Oreochromis niloticus: one gene and its partner. The main gene of each other region encodes a partner of the protein of the gene in region 2 in a complex. Links are inferred from orthologs where the notes say so. Each region holds a gene or a part of one and is shown on either strand. Other genes may lie near its edges.

What was found.
Region 1: the proteins of ogdhb (region 2) and tcaim are in contact, whole or in part, in a cryo-EM structure (PDB 8I0K), measured with the Homo sapiens proteins. The link is inferred for Oreochromis niloticus from reciprocal best matches to the Homo sapiens genes OGDH and TCAIM. Residues at the interface, in NP_001425937.1 of Homo sapiens: Gly301, Tyr304, Arg323, Tyr354, Arg356, Ile358, Arg364, Asn365, Lys387, Glu391, Tyr394, Cys395, Gly396, Thr398, Glu399, Lys401, Lys402, Lys561, Met602, Pro605, Glu667, Gly668, Ile669, Asn709, Met734, Ala735, Ser736, Pro737, Asn738, Gln772; in NP_001269842.1 of Homo sapiens: Glu214, Gln234, Arg235, Ser236, Trp237, Gly238, His241, Ser244, His247, Ser248, Arg251, Gln255, Asp272, Arg273, Thr286, Met287, Asp288, Val289, His290, His291, Glu331, Leu332, Gln333, Pro334, Val335, Arg375, Tyr376, Glu441, Ser443, His473.

The regions. Positions count from the first base shown.
Region 1 is NC_031976.2:1,620,329-1,630,456, forward strand, and holds the start of tcaim (T-cell activation inhibitor, mitochondrial), read right to left. Parts: upstream 3,850-10,128; 5' UTR 3,691-3,849; intron 3,667-3,690; exon of another isoform or gene 3,381-3,666; 5' UTR 3,246-3,380; coding exon 3,211-3,245; intron 785-3,210; coding exon 652-784; intron 340-651; coding exon 189-339; intron 101-188; coding exon 1-100. UniProt on the Homo sapiens protein: May regulate T-cell apoptosis.
Region 2 is NC_031972.2:9,755,229-9,765,409, reverse strand, and holds the start of ogdhb (2-oxoglutarate dehydrogenase, mitochondrial), read right to left. Parts: upstream 4,475-10,181; 5' UTR 4,339-4,474; intron 3,115-4,338; 5' UTR 2,950-3,114; coding exon 2,716-2,949; intron 1-2,715. UniProt on the Homo sapiens protein: 2-oxoglutarate dehydrogenase (E1o) component of the 2-oxoglutarate dehydrogenase complex (OGDHC). Participates in the first step, rate limiting for the overall conversion of 2-oxoglutarate to succinyl-CoA and CO(2) catalyzed by the whole OGDHC.

The DNA.
Region 1 (10,128 bases), on a different chromosome or scaffold from region 2:
CCTTTCATGTGCTCCATGGGCAGGCTGCAGCTCGTCAAAACATCCATCACTGTGCTCAAAACATCGTTTGTGTGCAGAGTAAAGCTGACTGAGCGGAAGCCTGAGAAGCAAACAGGAGCAATTTTACGTTAAAAAAACAACAACAAAAACACTCACTGGTACTTTGAGCATTTTTAAAAGAAATGCACCTGAGCTGAGGAGTTCTGGCTGCACCTTACTGCTGTACTTTGTGTTCCTTAGATAAAAGGTGAGCTTCATGGGTTGAACTGAACGTGAGCCAGGCTTCTGCAAGTTCTCCAGATAGCCATTCAGCCTCTTTAGCGAGTTCTCATTCACCTCCTGTAACACAGAGGTACCAGAACTTACATCATGGCAGCTCGTACCAACAAACGTCTGACACAGTGTTGTATGTACACAGATTATAAAGTCATATTTAATGATAATATCACATCATATTACTTTATATTGTATATGGATCACAGAGCACATAGATGATAAGTATACTGAACACAGTGGATTGTCTGCTGTGCCTATAAGGCGTCACACACATGTAAACCTGACAGTTAAGACAGTTTTTGAACTGTTACTTTACGATCATATGTTGCCAATAACACATATTTGGATTTATGTCATGACAGATATGAGACCTACCCGTTCTTTGGGATATTTACCGAAGAAGTCTGGGTGGACTGCAAAATAAAAGGGCCTGAGAGCATTTACAGCCTCTGCCCCTGACAGAGCTCTCTGTTGTACAGCATGTGTGGCAACATGCTTCCGCTGCAGCCTGCACAGAGAAAGACAGACGTTACAGAAAAGAGGCTAATTTACATCATTAAACCCTGCTCTCAATAACTGACATAGACGTAACTCCAGCTGGCTGCAACAATGGGCTTTTTGTTCAAACTGAGTAAATACTGTCGCCCACTTTCACTGTTATCTATGATACTCCCTAACTAGAAGTTATCCAAGTTTACTTCAGTTAACCAAGTCAGACAGTTGTAATGAAAACATAAACACAGTGCCAGCTGTTTATCAGCAGCTTATGCAGTAACCATGGTAACCACGGACATTGAGTGGCTGGATCAACGCAGGCCAGACTTTGGGAAGTACCCCTCATGTCTCTTTGAAACTAAAAGACAGTCATTTATCAGCCGTGTGGTCAGTATTACAGCAGGGTCCTGCTGAAAAACTGCAAAACAAACGAAACGTGTTGATGATGAAAATAGCAGGTCTGCCTCTAAAGTGTTTCCTGATGGGAATCAGTAACAAAGTCATAGACACAAGTTTATATTTCTCATGTTGGATAAAAACAATTGCACATTTATGATGTTGAAACAGGACACAGACACTGTAACTGCTGACCTCATATCAAACGTAGACTGAGCCCATGTTTGATGTTTTTATATCCAACCTTTACTCTCAAACCTTTAAACAGCAGCGAGTCTCAGCTGAGAGAATAAGTGTTCATATGATGGGGGAATATGATTTATGAGCAGCGTGCAGTCTGCTGTACTGAAATCACTGAATGAAGAGCAAACAGTGTGTCGCACTGTCACGGGAAGATGCGTGTATAAATCTGGTGATTTATTAAATGTATAAATGTTATTATACTTCATTCTAATCTGCTGCTGAGTCTTTTACGCTGATGGAAGTACAGATAACAGAGCACACACAGCATGAACACCTGTTCAACCAATCACATTTATTTCACTTTGACCAGCCATGAAATGAAGCGTTCATCTCTTCCTCTTTTTATAACAGTGTTGCATTTGACTGGTATATTTTTATGTTCTTGTTTTGTTTTGTTTGCTGCAAACAGAAACAAAAAGTCAAGGAAAAAAGAAATTACACGCTATTAAAAAACCTGTTCACACACAGAGGTCTGAGCCATTTTCTAGAGAACTGATTGGTCAGAAGTTGGCAAATTCATACCTGCTGATTTCTTGATTTCTTACCTACTCTAGACTGTTACCATGGTGATTTACCTGGAGAAAAGTTTACCACCTTTGCAGTACAGAAAACCCTGGGTTAACCCTGAAGTTACCCAGATAAACCAAAACCTGCTTCACATGATAGGCATCAGCTCTCTGCCACAGCAAACTAAGGGTAAGAGAAATCAGAGTAATGTCTTTAACAAAGGACAGACCCACCCAGAGTCATCACAATATCACAAAAGAGAGAGATAATGGCATGGAGTCGGACAGCAGTACCTGACTAGACAGACAGATCGATAATGCAGCGACAGAAAAAGAGTTCTAAATAATATTAATGTTGTTAATGTTATTATTTTCAAAGTTCGAAATAAATTTAGTTTTAAAATATTTGAGAGTAGATTAGAATGTTTTCTGGTCCTAAACATGAAGTGTCAGAATTTCCCCAGCAATGTTACTGGGGAATAATCGGCTGGGGAATGCTGGGGGCGCTACTCGACCTGCAGAGACCAGAGATGACCATGTGACTGTCTTTAAGCTTGTTTTGCCCTGGTGTGTGTGTCTGTATCCAGACTGTAAAATACATTCAGCTCTCCTCAAACGTGTCATTGTCACTGCTCACCCCCCCATCCCGCTTCTCTATGTGACACATCCGTACGCTATTCTCACCTTAATATAAATAAAAAAAATTATTTTGAGTGCACTGTTTGTCAACAATGCATTCTTACAGGGGGTACATCATGTGTAATAAGAGAATGACACAGGGGAAAGTACTGAACACGTGCATGGAAAGTAGAGACAGCAGCTGAACTCAGTGATCAGAAAGCAGCTCTGCAATTTGCAGAGAACCTACTTTTAATGTTAAACTTTTTGCACTAAATTATATGAAAGACTGCATTAAATGTAAGTTATTACAGATATGTCGATCCCAACAAAGGAAAATGAAACCCAAAAAGCCTTTTTAGGAACCTGATGTCTTTCGGAGTGCAGGTTACGAGACGATCATGAACGGAGACCCATATTGTACCGTACATAACGATGTAGGTGCGCATTTTCAAACGCAGATGGGTGACCGCAGGAACACATCAAAGTAAAGATTCTGTTACATTTTCTGTCCATTGTTGAAAAACCAAAAGTCAAACTCAAAGTCATTTTGACACTTACGTTTCTATATGCCTTCAACATGCGCATATTAGACTTTTTAAAAGGAGTTTTAAAACTGTCATTATGCTCCAGCCTGCACGTTATCATGTGATCGTACGTGTTGGGACAGTTTTACCTGATGGTGCATCGCAGAAGGGGGATTGCAGACATTGCTGACGCTGCTGGTCCAGAGATCAGCCTGTAATCACGGCCTTTTCAGTCGGTCCATCTGCATTTCCTTTATCAAAGTACTTCCATGGTTTGTTGCACTGGATCTGGCAGCAGCCTGGTACAGCTCAGCAGGGACTAAATCAGAGTAACTTCAGTTCGTCAAAAGAAAATCAACAGAAACAGATACCTAACGGTGTTAGCTAACTCTAATTTGTATTTACTCCTTTGAATCCCATGCTATCAAGTTATCTAAAAATATTAACAAATAGCAAACATTTGAAAACAGAACAACCCCAGATTAAAATGTCTCTGTAGTTTCCTTTGTGATTTCTAATCAATGACAGCAACAAAACATGGTTCCACTTTGCTAGCCAGGCTAGCACATAAAGTTAGCATTGCTATGAGGTGGTGCTACGCCGCAAACAAAATCCAATAAACGACTTACAGTGTGGTTGGTTGTTAAATTGTGACTGACAACAAAGTGACCTGTAACATCCCTGCCGTTAAGGTAGGACCGTTTTAGTTAGCGGCTGTGTGTTCTTCTTCTGTGATTGCTGGTACCAGCCAGCCGCACTATTGCGCCACCAGGCGGACTGGAGTGTCAGGTTAGGTTGAAGCAACCAGAGTTTTCTACTTCTGGCTCCACATGTTTGGAAAGGAAAACCATCCAAGCAATCTTTGAATGGTGAATGTTTTGTTCATGTATTTTTGTATTATGGTTTAATATAAAAATGTCTGTATTATTACTTGAACAATTTCTGTGAGATTAAAGATTGATGAATAAATACCAACAAGGTCCAGAGTAATTAGGTGAGTCAGCATGATTTTACTGTTAGGCCTATATAGTTTTTTTTTTAATTTTTTCCAGTCTTTGAAGATTAGATACCTAGGTATATGTCAGATACTTATAATACAATCTTGAGATCCTTTCCTAGGGGATTCAACTCCCACTCAATCTTGATCCAAGTGACCTCATTAATTCACAGGATGGCAGACAGGATCGCTCTCTTGCTACAAGTGTCATCCACTCAATCGCACACACGTTCAAACAGCACTTCATGCACTATGATTGACATTTACTGGTTTGTTTCCTATTATTGTCCTGCTGCATAATCTGAATGCACTTAAGCTTCAGGGCATGAAATGATAGCTGGACATTCTCCTGTAGAGAACAGAATCCATGGTTTCGTGTATTACAGAAAGTCTCCCAGATCCCAAAGCAGCAAAGTAGCCCTAGAACGCCACACTACCACTGCCAAATCTTGCAACAAGTTCAACTTTTGTGTCATGGGTGCACAGAATATCTTCCCAAAATTGCTGTTTTTGGTTGGCACTGGTTTTCACCTTGAACTCTCCAGTGGATGCCATTTGTGCCCAGTCTCTTTCTTAGGTTTACCCCTGTTTTCTCCATTGGTGCATAATGGCTGACAGCGTGGTTCACTGGAGTAAAATGGCTTTAAAACCTTTTTTATACTCATAGATGTCAGTGGCTTTGTTTCTCATCTCTTCTTGAGTTTCTTTAAAGAGTCTGACAGCCACCAACATTCTCCATGTGTGGCAGCCTGTCATTCATTGGCTTTAACTTATCCTTACAGGCCATTAGATCTTGGTAGGAGAATAATTGTGGTAAAAACTAATATTTTGCTCAGACTGTTTGTTCCATTCTTTGCCTCTTCAGATCTGATAAACAGTTTTGTGAATGGGCCAAAGTGATATATTTATCTAGAATGGTACATTCCCTAGAGTGAAATATGAAACTCTGCGGTTACCAAGAGACAAGGGAGGGATGGGTTCACCCAGCATTAAAGACTACTATAGGGTGGGCCATTTATATGGATACACCGTAATAACATGGGAATGGTTGGTGATATTAAAGTCCTGTTTGTGGCACATTAGTATATGTGAGGGGGCAAACTCCCCAAGATGGGTGGTGACCATGGTGGCCATTTAGAAGTCGGCCATCTTGGATACAACTTTTGTTTTTTCAATAGGAAGAGGGCCATGTGACACATCAAACTTATTGGTAATGTCAAAAGAAAAACAATGGTGTGCTTGGTTTCAACGTAACTTTATTCTTTCATGAGTTATTTACAAGTTTCTGACCACTTATAAAATGTGTTCAATGTGCTGCCCATTGTGTTGGATTGTCAATGCAACCCTCTTCTCCCACTCTTCACACACTGATAGCAACACCGCAGGAGAAATGCCAGCACAGGCATCCGGTATCCGTAGTTTCAGGTGCTGCACATCTCGTATCTTCACACCATAGACAATTGCCTTCAGATGACCCCAAAGATAAAAGTCTAAGGGGGTCAGATCGGGAGACCTTGGGGGCCATTCAACTGGCCCACGACGACCAATCCACTTTCCAGGAAACTGTTCATCTAGGAATGCTCGGACCTGGCACCCATAATGTGGTGGTGCACCATCTTGCTGGAAAAACTCAGGGAACGTGCCAGCTTCAGTGCATAAAGAGGGAAACACATCATCATGTAGCAGTTTCAAATATCCAGTGGCCTTGAGGTTTCCATTGATGAAGAATGGACCCACTATCGTTGTACCCCACATACCACACCAAACCATCACTTTTGTTGTTCCAACAGTCTTGGAGGGATCCATCCAATGTGGGTTAGTGTCAGACCAATAGCAGTGGTTTTGTTTGTTAACTTCACCATTCACATAAAAGTTTGCCTCATCACTGAACAAAATCTTCAGCGTGAACTGAGGGTCCTGTTCCAATTTTTGTTTTACCCCTTCTGCAAATTCTGTGCGCCGATCTGGGTCATCCTCGTTGAGATGCTGCAGTAGCTGGAGTTTGTAAGGGTGCCATTTGTGAGTAGCTAATATCCGCCGAAGGGATGTTCGACTAATGCCACTCTCCAGTGACATGCAGCGAGTGCTATGCTATGGGCTCTTGCTGAATGAAGCGAGGACAGCCACTGATGTTTCTTCATTAGTGACAGTTTTCTTGCGTCCACATTTTGGCAAATCCAACACTGAACCAGTTTCACGAAACTTAGCAAGCAGTTTGCTAACTGTAGCATGGGAGATGGGTGGTCTCGTAGGGTGTCTTGCATTGAAATCTGCTGCAATGACCCGGTTACTGCGTTCACCAGATATCAACACAATTTCGATCCGCTCCTCACGGGGCGATCGTGGCTCAAGAGTTGGGAGTTCGCCTTGTAATCGGAGCCCCCGGCTCGGACAGTCTCGGTCGTTGTGTCCTTGGGCAAGACACTTCACCCGTTGCCTACTGGTGGTGGTCAGAGGGCCCGATGGCGCCAGTGTCCGGTAGCCTCGCCTCTGTCAGTGCGCCCGAAGTGGCTACAGTTGCATACCTGTGGTGTGAAGGTGGATGACTGGTGTGAAAGCGCTTTGGGGTCCTTAGGGACTAGTAAAAGCGCTATATAAATACAGGCCATTTACCATTTACGTGGTCTTCGACATGTCAATGTCTGTGAACAAAGAGAAACTTGTAAATAACTCATGAAAGAATAAAGTTACGTTGAAACCAAGCACACCATTGTTTTTCTTGTGACATTACCAATAAGTTTGATGTGTCACATGGCCCTCTTCCTATTGAAAAAACAAAAGTTGTATCCAAGATATGGCCGACTTCTAAATGGCCACCATGGTCACCACCCATCTTGAGGAGTTTGCCCCCTCACATATACTAATGTGCCACAAACAGGACTTTAATATCTCCAACCATTCCCATTTTATTACGGTGTATCCATATAAATGGCCCACCTTGTATTTAGCAGCACAAATAAAACCACGTATACTTTGGTGTAATCAGGATTATGAAGCAAAGTGGAAAGCCATAGTGTTGGCTTTAATAACATGGCAAAGTTTGTTGGATTGCCAAACAATGTCCAGAGCCAGCGGGCTGGGTTTTCTATAGATATGTGGTCTGGACCAGTGAAACAGCTTATACTTTCAAAACATAGTACAAATGTAACCCCTGGCCTACTTACTTCTTCAAATCCAACAAAAGTGGTGTCAAATGTTTGTGCTGCACTCATTTTAAAAATATTAATAAAAGAAAATTTCTAAAGAAATTTAAAAGCCCCCCCCCCCCACACACACACACTTCTTTCAATGTTACATAAAATAGACTTAACACTTTAGTGTAGTTTCTAATATTTTATTTCAGAATGGCAACAAAAATGTAACTGTAATGTTTCCACAGTGGGTAGCTTCCTGCTGCAACACTAAAGGTGTTGTGGACAGTTTACCTGATAAGAATGCCTTTGACAAAACCAGCATTATCTAACATACTTTAAGTTTAGTCTTTAGTCTTTTAGTTCGTCTGTTAATGCAAAATCAATTTAAGAGGCAAAGGTTTGCTAGTGCTAGATGTGTCAAGCAAAATTAATTATTTGTTTCACTTCCATTCATTACATTTACCTGAACGAACACAAGCAAAGTGAAGTTGAAACGATATTGAAAAGCACAGACATTTTCTCCTTGACTGAGGTGCATCACCCTTTGCTGTGCTTGTAATAGATGTAGTGAAAAGTGACCATGCTGGTGGCCACTGACAGGCAAGGTAGCAATTTTAATAAGCACACAACAACTGCTTATTGATATGTGACAAATCTGATAAATCACTGATAGAAACCTAAGGAGGTTGGAAAGAAAAGCGTCTGGACTTCTTAAAGTTGCTTGAAGACGTTTCATCTCTCATCCGAGAAGCTTCTTCAGTTCTAGGGTCAAATGGTGGAGAGTCCCAGATTTAAGCCCTGTGGGAGTGTCCCCAAGAGGGTCATGGACCCCCTATTGATCCTCTACCTAATCACATGAGCCAAGGTGTGAAAACGGGTGGTCACAATCAGCCAGGGTTTCGGGTGAGCTCACTGTGAAACCTGGCCCCACCCTATCATGTGATTTCCTGAGGTCAGATGGCCCAGAATGTAAGTGGGCGTTAAGGCGTCTGGGAAGGATCTCAAAACTGGATTATAGATGGCAGACAGTTGGTGTCGTAAGCCCCGCCCTCTGTTCAAAGATGGTCGTTCACAGTGGACATAGATGCTTCTTTCACTCCTCTTTCAAACCATCTGTCCTCTCTGTCCAAAATGTGAACATTGGCATCCTCGAAAGAGTGACCTTTGTCCTTTAGATGCAGATGGACTGCTGAGTCTTGTCCCGTCTTGTCAGAAGTCCATCTGCATCTAAAGCACAAAGGTCTCTGTAATCTATTGTCCATCTCATGACATGATTCAAGATTAACAATGAAAACTTTTAGATAAAACATTGAGAAATCAGTCTGAGTGGCATTTATTCCAACACATTAACAGCAGAATTCTGAGAAGGTTGCAATATGAGCACACTGAAGTATCACAGCTCAAGACACACAAGCTGTCAGTGGTTTACTGGGTTGTTGTAGTTTTTTTTTAACCACAAGATGGGGCTCATTATCTATTCATCCATTTCCCAGCCGACTCCTATCACAAGGCTCGCACACAAACACATACTTCTACCCAGAGCCAATCTGTTGAGGTTTAAGTCTAAGGAGCACCGTGGGCAGCTTAGTAATTAACCTGCCTAGAAAAATGTGAAGTTGGTCGTGTAGGTAACAAAAATACCCGAAACAAAAACAAATATAGTTGCCACAAAAGATCCATGCTAAAACAAAACTTCACTTATATAGATGTTATTAGGTGATTTGAAAAAGTTCCATGGTTAGACAAAGCCATCAGACTCGAGGCATCTGGCACAACATAGCTTCTGCAGTCAGTCTACCTCTGATTTTTAAAGCTCAGATTATACCTCGTTTTCACATCTGATAGTGGTTAAAGGGGGATTACTCCACACAAGGAGCTGGCATGGATAAACACTCTAAGTGGGAGAGACAGTCAGTCTTTGTTATGTTTTAACACTGGGATTTATTTTTCATCCTACACTGTTGGAAGCCAGGAATAACTTTTTTTGGAGGTTTGTACAAATTGAAATGATAAAGGACTTTGTTATAATTCACTCCAGATTTGATGGGTGTTCTAAATAAAGCTGTTGTGGATTGTTGTTTTTTAACAGAATAAGAACCTAATGCAAACTTCATCTTAGAATGGAAATGATCAATGGAAAATTCAATTAAACAGCTTCCTGAGACCCATCAGTCGATCACATATCTTCTGGGTGGCTTTGCAGGCAGGAAATCATTTCTTGGACTGGCCTCTTCTCAAAACAAATCTGATAAACTGCTGTAAACAAAGGGAACCTGGAGAGAGTAAGGACAGAGTTAGTCAAGAAACAAGAGAAGCTTGGCGAAGTAGAAAAGAGAAAATACAAGTTATTAATTTCACATGTAATGAACGAATATAGAATAGGTAAACAACAACAATACAATGATGAATATGATGAGCCAAAGTATGACGATCTCAAAACGACCCAGTAACATATTTCAGTTTTGTTTCAGCATAGAATCCTAGGGTGGTTAATTACAGTAACTTGAATGAGTTTAGGGAGAGTTTGTTCTTTATTATCAATTTCTGTGTTTAAAAATAGTTCAAATCCTTCCAAAGTCTGTAGTTGTAGTAATAATAATAACAATAATAATAATAATAACTAGAAAGCGAAAATTTCAGAAGAAATTTTATGTGTGCCTATGCCGCTGCTAATCACTGTAGTTTGCCATTCATACGGCTACAGAGAGCAAAACTCAGAAGAGCAGCCATTCTCCACCATGAACTATGGTAAAAACAAACACCGCTCACGCTTCACAGATGACAGCTTACAGTTTTGTGTAAAGATGAAGTTACTTCGTACAGCGCCGATTTGCAGACGCTGTGCACACAGGTTCATGAGCAGAAGTCCCATTGTACCACGGCAGACCCGACAATGTTTGCATGAACACACTTTGAAGCATTACATTATAGACCAC
Region 2 (10,181 bases):
GGAAACAGAAAAATCAATCTTAGTGGGCCCTATGTGGAAAAAACTGGTTGTGACACCATCGGCAGCAAGAAATGTAATTAAGCATTTGCCACATGAGGCAAGATTTACAAAAATCAGCATAGGTAAAATGAAAACACATAACTTTTGGAAAGCAAGTTACTCATACTCCTGTAGAGATTAAGAATGAATTGTACCTCAAGTTTATATCCGTTTGAGGGCAGACAAGTGACTACTTTTGGCAATTTAGGCAAGTCATTACATTACAAGCTTTTCACCATGTACCTAGTGCATAGCGTACAGTGATTCCCCTAGGCTGACTAGGGGAATCCACATTTTATTTATCAGTGTAAGCATTTTGGTTGCTGCTATACTGTTTTTTGGAGGAGAGTCAGAGAGGAAAGCAAGGGTACAGTACCATGTAAGTCTACCAAACAAGTTCAGAAACTATGGCTCCAGCCCCGCATATCTGCTTATTAGTGTTATGTAACTACAATTGTACCGACCAAAATGGAAGCACAAACTTCTGGATAATCTGTACCTTACTGCAGGACCAAATTAGATGCAGTAAGGCCTAGCAGACAGCTATAGGCTACAACTACCTCACACTCAGTTCATTCAACTCAAATCCTTTACTTCTCAGCCCTTTCCTCTGACCACTGGCGTGCCCCAGGGATCTGTCCTGGGGCCCCTTCTTTTTATTATCTACCTTCTACCGCTTGGACATATTTTCCGTAAATACAATATCCATTTTCACTGTTATGCCGATGACACCCAGCTTTATCTGTCCACTAAACCTGATTCTGCTCTTCCCCCATCCTCCCTCACCCTCTGCTTAGCTGAACTAAATTCATGGTTCTCTTCTAATCTTCTTAAACTCAATAGTAATAAATCCGAACTCCTCTTAGTAGGCACTAAATCAACATTATCCAGAACCAACAGTTTCTCTATTACTATCAATAACTCGCCGGTCTCCATTTCTTCCTCTGTGAAAAGTTTGGGTGTCATCCTCGACAGTACTCTATCTTTCAATTCACACATTAATAATGTCACTCGGTCTGCATATTTTCAATTGCGCAACATTAATCGTCTCCGTCCTTTTCTCACCCCACATGCCACTGCCATTCTTGTCCACAGCCTTGTTACTTCCCGGATTGATTATTGTAATTCACTTCTTTTTGGTCTTACTCAAAAATCCATCCATAAGCTTCAACGCATCCAGAATTCTGCTGCCCGTATCATCACCAGGACCCCTTCTGTCCATCACATCACTCCTGTTCTGCAGCAGCTTCATTGGCTCCCGGTCAAGTATCGTATCAATTTCAAAATACTCTTGTACGCATTTAAAGCTATTCATCATCTCTCTCCTCCATATCTCTCTGATCTGGTTAACATCACCTCCCCATCTCGTTGTCTCAGATCTTCTTCTTCCCTTTCACTCTCCGTCCCCTCCCCCCGTCTTGTCACCATGGGGAGCAGGGCTTTCAGCTGCTCTGCTCCACAACTCTGGAATTCCCTACCTCCTGATTTAAGAAATATCTCTACCTTCTCTCTCTTTAAGTCCCAACTCAAAACCCACTTGTTCAAAATAGCTTATCCCACATAACCTCTCCACTTTGCTATTTTAAATTTGTTTATGTTTTATGATTGTGTAAACTCTTTGCTTTTATGTTGCTTTTTACTCTACTGTGTACAGCGACCTTGAGTGTTTTGAAAAGCGCTTTCAAATAAAATGTATTATTATTATTATTATTATTACTTGTCTTTCAACTGCCAATGTTGCTAATGGTAAACCTTTATCCAAATGGATGAGTTATAAAACAAAAACTCAGCTGCCCACTTAAACATGGAATTCTATGTGAACTGTGTAATTTATGCAGGCAGCTTCAAGTTGCCACTCCATGAACTACAGTTTTTTGCATTTCATCGTTTAGACTGGAGACATAGTGCATAGTCTCGTAGTGTGTGACGTCTAAGTGAGAATAGCCTAAGTGAGAATAGTGCAGGCAGTTGTCTATTGCATTCATACTGAGTGTGTCATAAGTCCTTTACACTCTATTCAGGCAGCTCCATCACCTAAATTCCAGTATTTCCACTAATAATGTATCTTCAGTGGATTGTCACTGTGCAACATGTCAAGAAGTACAGATGTGGACAATTTTGTGTCTCGATGTTCATGTGTGGAAATTTGGTATTTTCAAGTTTTAGTAAAATTGTCAAACTTTCTTTCTTTCTTTCTTTACATGTGTATTTAGTTGTCAATATATACTTATTTATTATTATTTTCCATTTTTCGACCCCCCTCCAGCCACCACCAACATCCCCATTTATTTTGAAAATCTGTTTCTGTTTATCTTTTTAAATTTCATCATAAATGTATTCTCCTTTATACAAATTTAAACACTGTGTCATAGTCACCTTTTCAGTTATTGGTTAATCACCATCAAACTTTGGTCCCACACCAGGCAACCTAATACCTGTTTATTAATTACCAATAATGACTGGGTTGAAATATGCGTTGATTTATGTGGAGGCTGCATTTTATGTCTGTAATTGATGGAGGTGGAGTTATTTTTCCCTGTTATATATCCATTATTAGGTCATCTCTGCCGACCAAAACACTTGGTTGGTTTTACATGCAGTTTCATATTTTAAACATATATAACTGCAGAAATGACAACAACATCAAACACAGAATTAAAGGTGGATGTGCTGTACCTTATGCACACTCTTTGGATTCTCTAGCCATGAGTAGTACATCTCCTCCACATAGTTAGAGCTGGTGCCATTGAGAAAGGGTTCACTAGCTAGAGGTGTGTTCAGGTGCCTTGTGGGCTGAGATCTCCTTAAGCCCTGTTTAACTGCCAATGGTAGAGGCTTTGATAGGCTCTGGGTCATTTGTACAGCCGTTAAAGGCCAAAGCCTTACAGCCGTAGTCCTTAAGCAGTGCATAGCGGCAGATGAGTCACAGTTCTGCAGGATCACTCTCCTGGACAAGGAGATCCTACAGGCTAATCAGGAGCTGCCCCTCTTCAAATCCGTCTGGCTTGCTGAACCGGAGAGATTGGCTTATCTGCAGACACTGCCCCTTCTCTTCTCCCAACTGCCCAATGGATCCTGCAGATTCCAGATATAGATTTTGTAATTGAGCAAACCTAATAAGGCTAATATTAAATATATTTTTGTGAAAAAACACATGGTAAGGCCAAAACAATGTTTTATTCAGTTTCTCAGTACTTGTGAATTTGTGTCCTGTATGTGAAGAAGTGCTAGTTGTAAATTAAGGTATGCATTTTGCACCAGAACTGATATTTACAATACATTTTCATACCAAAATTCTTTTTTTTTCCTTTCTTTTTTCCCTTTCATACCAAAATTCTGAAAATGTGATAGGTGCCGTAGGCAGCATATGGACTGAGGCCTCAGTTATTTCAGAAATGACTGGGGAAGGAGTCCTAGTCTATCATTACATGCTAAAGAAGCAGAAGGTTGCTAACAAGCACAGAAAAGTGGCTAACAACTTGTGATTTGCTTACCCCTGAATCTTGGTATTACCAATATTTAAAAGGTGAACAACAAGAAGTACTTTTGCAACCAGGCCCCTGCTCACCAAGATGTGCCCCATGTTTATACTGTCTATGACTTAATTATAAGTTTTAAGACTCAGCATTTAGCTATTACATTCATGGTTTAGATTTAGATATGGTTTTCAATATTATAATTTATAGTCTCTAGGGACACCATTCACCCACTATATACACATGCGCCTATTAAATGTAGGCCAAACGCTAACTGTCGAAAAATGTTGCAGTTTATTTCAGCAAGCAACAAAGCAGATCGAAAATAATAGCTTTTACTGTTAAAGACACCTCAGTAGTTCGTAAAACCTGGACTTTAACCTTTAGCAGACTTTACTGAAAAGGAGAATGTATGTTTTTTGGTGTATTTCTAGTCATTACTTTTCAGCATTTTGTGGCGCTCTAATCGAATGTTTCTATGAGCACAAGCAGTAAGACAACACAGAGGAATTTAGTTATGAAAACCCACAAAGAATAACGCCGGTGCGGGTTAACAACACATCTAACGGGTCTTTCCAGGAAAAAAGAATCTTAGTAAAATGAAGTTCACTGGGGGACGGCATATAGCCTGAAGCACAGACAAAAAGACTTGTAACCTTAAAATCTGCATAAAATAAATACAATACCGAAAACAAAGCAAGAACACTTCAAAAACCGTACCATCACGCATGGGGCCCCTACGAAGCATTAATCAGGTTCAAAGTAAAGTTTCTCGTTAAATAAAGCTTTTAGGATAACACTTCATTTGCATCGACTTTGTTACCTTTACCGCGGTCTCGTAGGTGCTTTCGACGCCTTCCCCGGAGCCTTCCGTGTCGTAAATGAGTGGAAGTCAGAGGTCCTGTCGTAGACGAAAGTCTGTGTGCGCGTGTGTGTCGCGCGCGCGAGCGCTGTCTTGTCCCCGGTGCTGAAAAGCGTCCCGGTAGTGATATTACTTGTTTAAGTAAGCAACAAAGAAAACTTTTTCGTTCTCTGGTGTTCTGAACTGAATGCAGGGTTAGTTTTGTCTGTTCAACTCAAATGATATGCATGTTTAAAATGCGCCTAATGTGGGCAGAGATGTAATGAATGGATAACTACATCTGGAATGTAGTCACATTTAAACAAAACCAAATAAGATTTTTTTTGTGGTGTTTTTTTATTACATAGAAATATATATTTTTCTGATTACAGAAAATTTCATTACTGATTAAACCGCACGAGTACACATACAAACACTCAAGAGATGATATAAACTCTAAGAAAAAAAGAGGTGTTAAAAGTTATGTGTTGGTGTAGAAGGCTGATACCATCACCGGTTGAGTCTATTGGGGTCACAATGTTGTCAGTCTGGTTGGTGAAAAAGCAGAATTTCTAATTATCACATCTTGTTTCATGAAGAAAAATATACCTGTATTAAAATCTGAAATGATTAATTCCTATGGCTCACAGTATATAATCAAAGTACTTCAAAGCAGACCTTAGGTAAAAAGCATTTTTATCCCTCAGCTTATTAACTTGTTCTCAGACAGGCTCCGATACCTCTGCACCCTGCTGGCACTGACTTTGATGTTAATATGTATTCATGTAATTGGTGTTTTGGCAACACAGCTTAATTCATGATGCTAATGAAGTCTTTGCAACACTAAAGGCAGACACAGAGGAGACAAGAAAGACATTCACACATACTTCAGGTGGTGGTGACACAGATTTTCAGCCACTTCATTATGTAAACTTGGATCTCACAGCACAAATCATTAACATAGTAATACCACACTGCATTCAAAATAGAATAAATGTATTTACACCACTACCAGAAGATGTTTTACATTAAATGAAAGCTTTATTTAATTAAATGAATTGCAAACATAATAGGTAATAAAGTCAAGAATCTTTTAACAGCAGTTTTGCCCTTTAAACTTTCCTTTCATAAAAAAAATCATCTATCTTCAGCCTTGCTGAAGCTACTGCAGACAAAATATCAGCTGGCTGCCTCTTCTCTGAAGAATTCTTCCTTTGTTTGGCTCTGTACTTTAAAACAATGGACGTCATTAACAATCAAATCTGGGCATAAATCAAATGAACATTTTGCACACAAATTGGTAATTTATCAGTATTGCTGTTCCTCAATTTGTTTGTAAAGAGAAAAAAAAATACTAAATAAAATGGCAAAGCCTTAAAAATCGTAAAAATATTCTCCTTATCTAGTCTTTAATTAAACATGACTTTTGTCAGTTTCTTGGTACTATTCCGTGGATGCTGGCAATATCATTTTCTTGTGTGTAGGCATGTGTGTCTCTGTCTCTGTTCAGGCTGACAGATCCCATGTTCCTGGTTCTGTACTGCTGTTTGTGATGTTTTTTTGTTGTTTGTTTTTTTATGGTATGCTAGTCTTTTTCTTATTTTTCAGTATAACAGGTTGAAAAACCTGGTCCTAGATGAATAAGAAAGTGCAACAAGATTTCCATAGCAGAAGCCAAGAGGAGAAATGGCCTGTTTTCCAAAGATCCATGCAAAGATCCCAGGTTGTGCTTTCAGCTACAAGCGAATAACAATACAAGGGCAGATCCTGAGCTGAAATTGAGCAATGCTAGAAGAGCATTGAGGAAAACAGGCATTACACATTATCAATGCTAAGTGGCTGGTGTACCTAAGAGCAGAGAACAGCAGCCTCCCAGATCTCTCAGAACCAGTCAACATTGCAAATACTACTATTATTACTACTACTACTACTTCTGCTAATCATAATAATCATAATGATGCTCGTGCAAGAGTACTAGAAAATGAGACCATATTTATCCCATATTAGCTTATTTTCATTCTTGAATTCAAAATCCTTCTAAAACTCTGGTTTTCTTCCATAGTGTGTCTTTTGTATTGTCATCCTCCCCTCACCCCTAACAAGTTATATATTGCAAACCTTTCTTGAATATCTGCCACTGCGATGGTTACTGTATCCTGTACAACGAGGTTGCTATTGTCTGCTTTAGATTCGTACCCACCCTCTCTCCCTTTTTCAAATAATTCACTTCTTATAGGGATCTGCCTGACCCAGGAGCTGCCACCAGTCCCCCTCTGAGGCCTTCCCAAAAACCACAGCCTCAATTTATGTTCAAGCCATCTGCCACTATCTACAAAAATGTTAGCAAACCTATCTGAGGATGTGATCCCAGCTAGTGAATTACTACTTTTTTTTACTGCAATTTTAAATATTTTTCTACTGTATTTCACTATAATCCGTTCTACTTTGATATCTGACATTAAGGTATTTGCAAAAGGTGAGTCTTATCTCCCTAAATTTAGTATATTTCAATTTGGTTTATTTATTTAGCTCCAATTTACAAAAGCAACCAAATTAGGGAACTTAACTCTGTAAGCTAAAAAACCTTACAAACCTTACATATGAAATCCATGGCATGTTAAAACAGTAGTTAGCACTGCCACCTCACAGCAAGGTCTTGGATTAGAATCCACTGTCTGGCCACGGGTTTGCATAGGTTCTCTCTGGGTTCTCCGGCTGTCTTCGATAGTCCAAAGACATACTTTTAGTGAGGTTAGGTTATTTTCCAAATTACCCATAGTTGTGAATTGTTGTCTGTCTCTCTGTGTTGACCCTGAGTCAGACTAGGGTTGTACCTAGCCTCTTGCCCTATGGCAACTGTGATAGGCTTCAGCCCCCCTGTGACCCTAAATTGGATAAGTGGAAGAGAAAGGGTAGAGTAAGAATTCCAGCAAAATAAAATTATGTATAATGTTTAACAACAGATTACATTTTCTATCCTTGTCTGTAAATTTGTTAATCTATAAATGCAGTAAAGTAAGACATTTACCCTGAAATGTAACAAAAGAGAAGTAACTTTACACCTTTAAAACATTCCATAGCACAGTTCATGAGTAAATCTACTTTTCGAGCTTTCCTGTAATCACTGTGGTGGTTGAGATGTTTTTACTGACCCTTCAAACTTTGCCTTCTAAAAAATACTTGCTGGAATATTCTGAGTAATATTCTGTTTAGAGGAAATACTGACATTTATTCATGTAACATTTTAAAGCACTAAAAACACAAGGAAAACTAAAACAATACAGGGTTCTTTCTAAGGTTGTGAGTTGAGATAAGACGGAATAGTAGAGTGGACAGTTTTATTAGTTTACACACTGATTACATCTGATCACACTTTAATATTGATCATCATCATATAATAAATACAAAAAGTATATGATAAAAGCTTTGTTTCACATACAGTCATCACCATCATCATCATTCATATCATACTTGCTCACATGAACACAGAAGAAGAAATGATAAGGATCTATCAATACACTTTAAATTGTCTTTGGAGGTGAAGCCTAAGATTAACACCCAGGCCCAAACCTAGTTATTAAGTAAGAAGGTACAGCTTTCAAAGAGGACACTAATTCTAAGTAACCAATCCAATTAAAGTACTGATAGCACTGACATTTGGTTTGACCAGGAAGGGAAATTCATGGGTTTGTCCTAAAGCCATAGCTGTGGAGTTTCACTGATACTAATGGTTTAAAAAACAAAAACAACCTCAAGATTGTCTGATGATGCATAATTCCCCGTTTCATTTTGTAATGTAAATAATTAGTAATTAATAAAAGACTGTTTTGAATGACTGTTAATAATGTGTTGAACTGGCTCAAAAAGTTTTTACCTTTTGATACAAAACACTACTCATGCAAAATGTGAAACACTAAATCACAGCCTTGGCTTGGCAAGTTCACCATGCGTCTCTCCAAATTTAGGTGCTTAATGTGTTTTTGTTTTTAATACTTCTTCTAACTTTTATGATTCAATGCAACAAGTATTTGAAAGCATATTTCTTTATTTTACATCATGATCAGCATGGATGGTGAGAAGCATTACATTGTGAATTGCCGGTATGCCCATACATTTACCCTAGTAGATGGTGTATTTTACATCACCACTTAGTACCTAAGGTTTGATATCTTAGTGTTGTAAGAAGCACAAAGTTATCTTTCTAATACATTTTTCTTTAGTTCACTTTATAAAATTATATATGTATATTTTAATATTTCATAATAATTGGTTTCTTTTCTCCATTAGGTGACAAGCTGGAACCAGCTAATTTTTATAGTTTTCTTTGAAAACCACTTCCATGATTTGATCTTTCCAGTCATCGTCCTGCGATGATTCAACCAATCATTTAAGCTTTACTGTGTATGTGATATTTGAAGGATCAAACTAGGAGCTATCATGTTCTATACTATTTGTTAAGTGAGCTAAAGTAATTTGACAATATTGTGAATATGTCCTAAAACAGACCAGCTCAGTGCTTTATCTGACAGCCTGTATAAGCCTGTCTTTAATCTTCAGTATTTTTCTTCTCACATTCAATCATCATGTATGTACTTTAATCCTGTAGTCAGTCTAAATGTCAAGCTTGAAGAAGTTGATGCCCCCTCGAGGACAGAAAGTTAGATCATTAAGGGAAAATACAGCAAACGACACTAGATATTTCTGGGAGATATTGTAAAACTAAAGGATTTGATATTCTACCTAATATTTTGGTTTTACTCACTAACATTGAGGGGTGGCTGTTGCTCGGGAAGTAGACCAGGTCATCTACTAATGAGAAGGTTTGTTTTTTTGAAATCTGGCTTCTCCATGCCAAAGTATCCTCAAGTAGGTAAGCTGCCCTCCAATCCGTTCATTGGAGTATAAATGTTCAATAAAAAGGCACTTTGGCATCAAAAAAAGTCCTTGGGTAAATGAGGCAAGCTGTATAAAGCGCTTCGAGTGCTTAAGTAGTGCAAAAAAACACTATTTCCAAACCAGTCCATTTCAAATTTCATTCCTGCCTGTGTGTTGAATCAATGTCCTGGAAAAACTGTGTAAAATTTTGTGATTTAGACATTACACACAAATATTTGTAAACATATATAAAAGAGACTCTGCTTAGTGCTTGAAATAGAAGTAATAATGTATGTGTGTGCGCAAGACACTGTTTTCTTTTACAAATATGTCAATTGACTTTTCCATATTTCCACATGTTAAAACCTTCTTGTTTTAGGTCAGCCACAGCTCTGCAAGAGTAAGGACAAAGTGAAAATTAGGGCTTTATGGGAAAGGAGGACCCTTTTATGAATTCTGAAATACAGTAAGTCGTTCCTGTTCACGTCTCCAGACCGGAGAAAAACTGAGGTTTATACATAAAAAATGAGAGAGTGACTGTATGTTCTTATTCCAAAACATTCAAATGCAACTCTGGAAGATTTATCATATAATTGTCAATTTCACTTTTACTCTCTTTTAGTTTATTATTATTTTTTTAAATATCTGTCACTTTATGTGTTAAATGCTCTTTTGTGTTCATCAATAGCTGTCTGTGTTTCCTGCATTCTGCTTGGTAGGCAGCTGTTTAAGGCTCCATAACTGTAGTGGTTTACACATTTGCCTCCCAAGTGAAAGGCCTCACACACGATGTGTAAGGAGCAGCAGAAAATTCTTTTTCAGCTTTCCTTTTTCTCAGTCACAAATTACGACACAAGAGCATAATGTTACCATATTTAAATGCTAATCCTGCGGAAGGAGAAGTAAATGTTAGCTTTGTTGAGTTGTATCTGTACACTTTTGTCAAAATG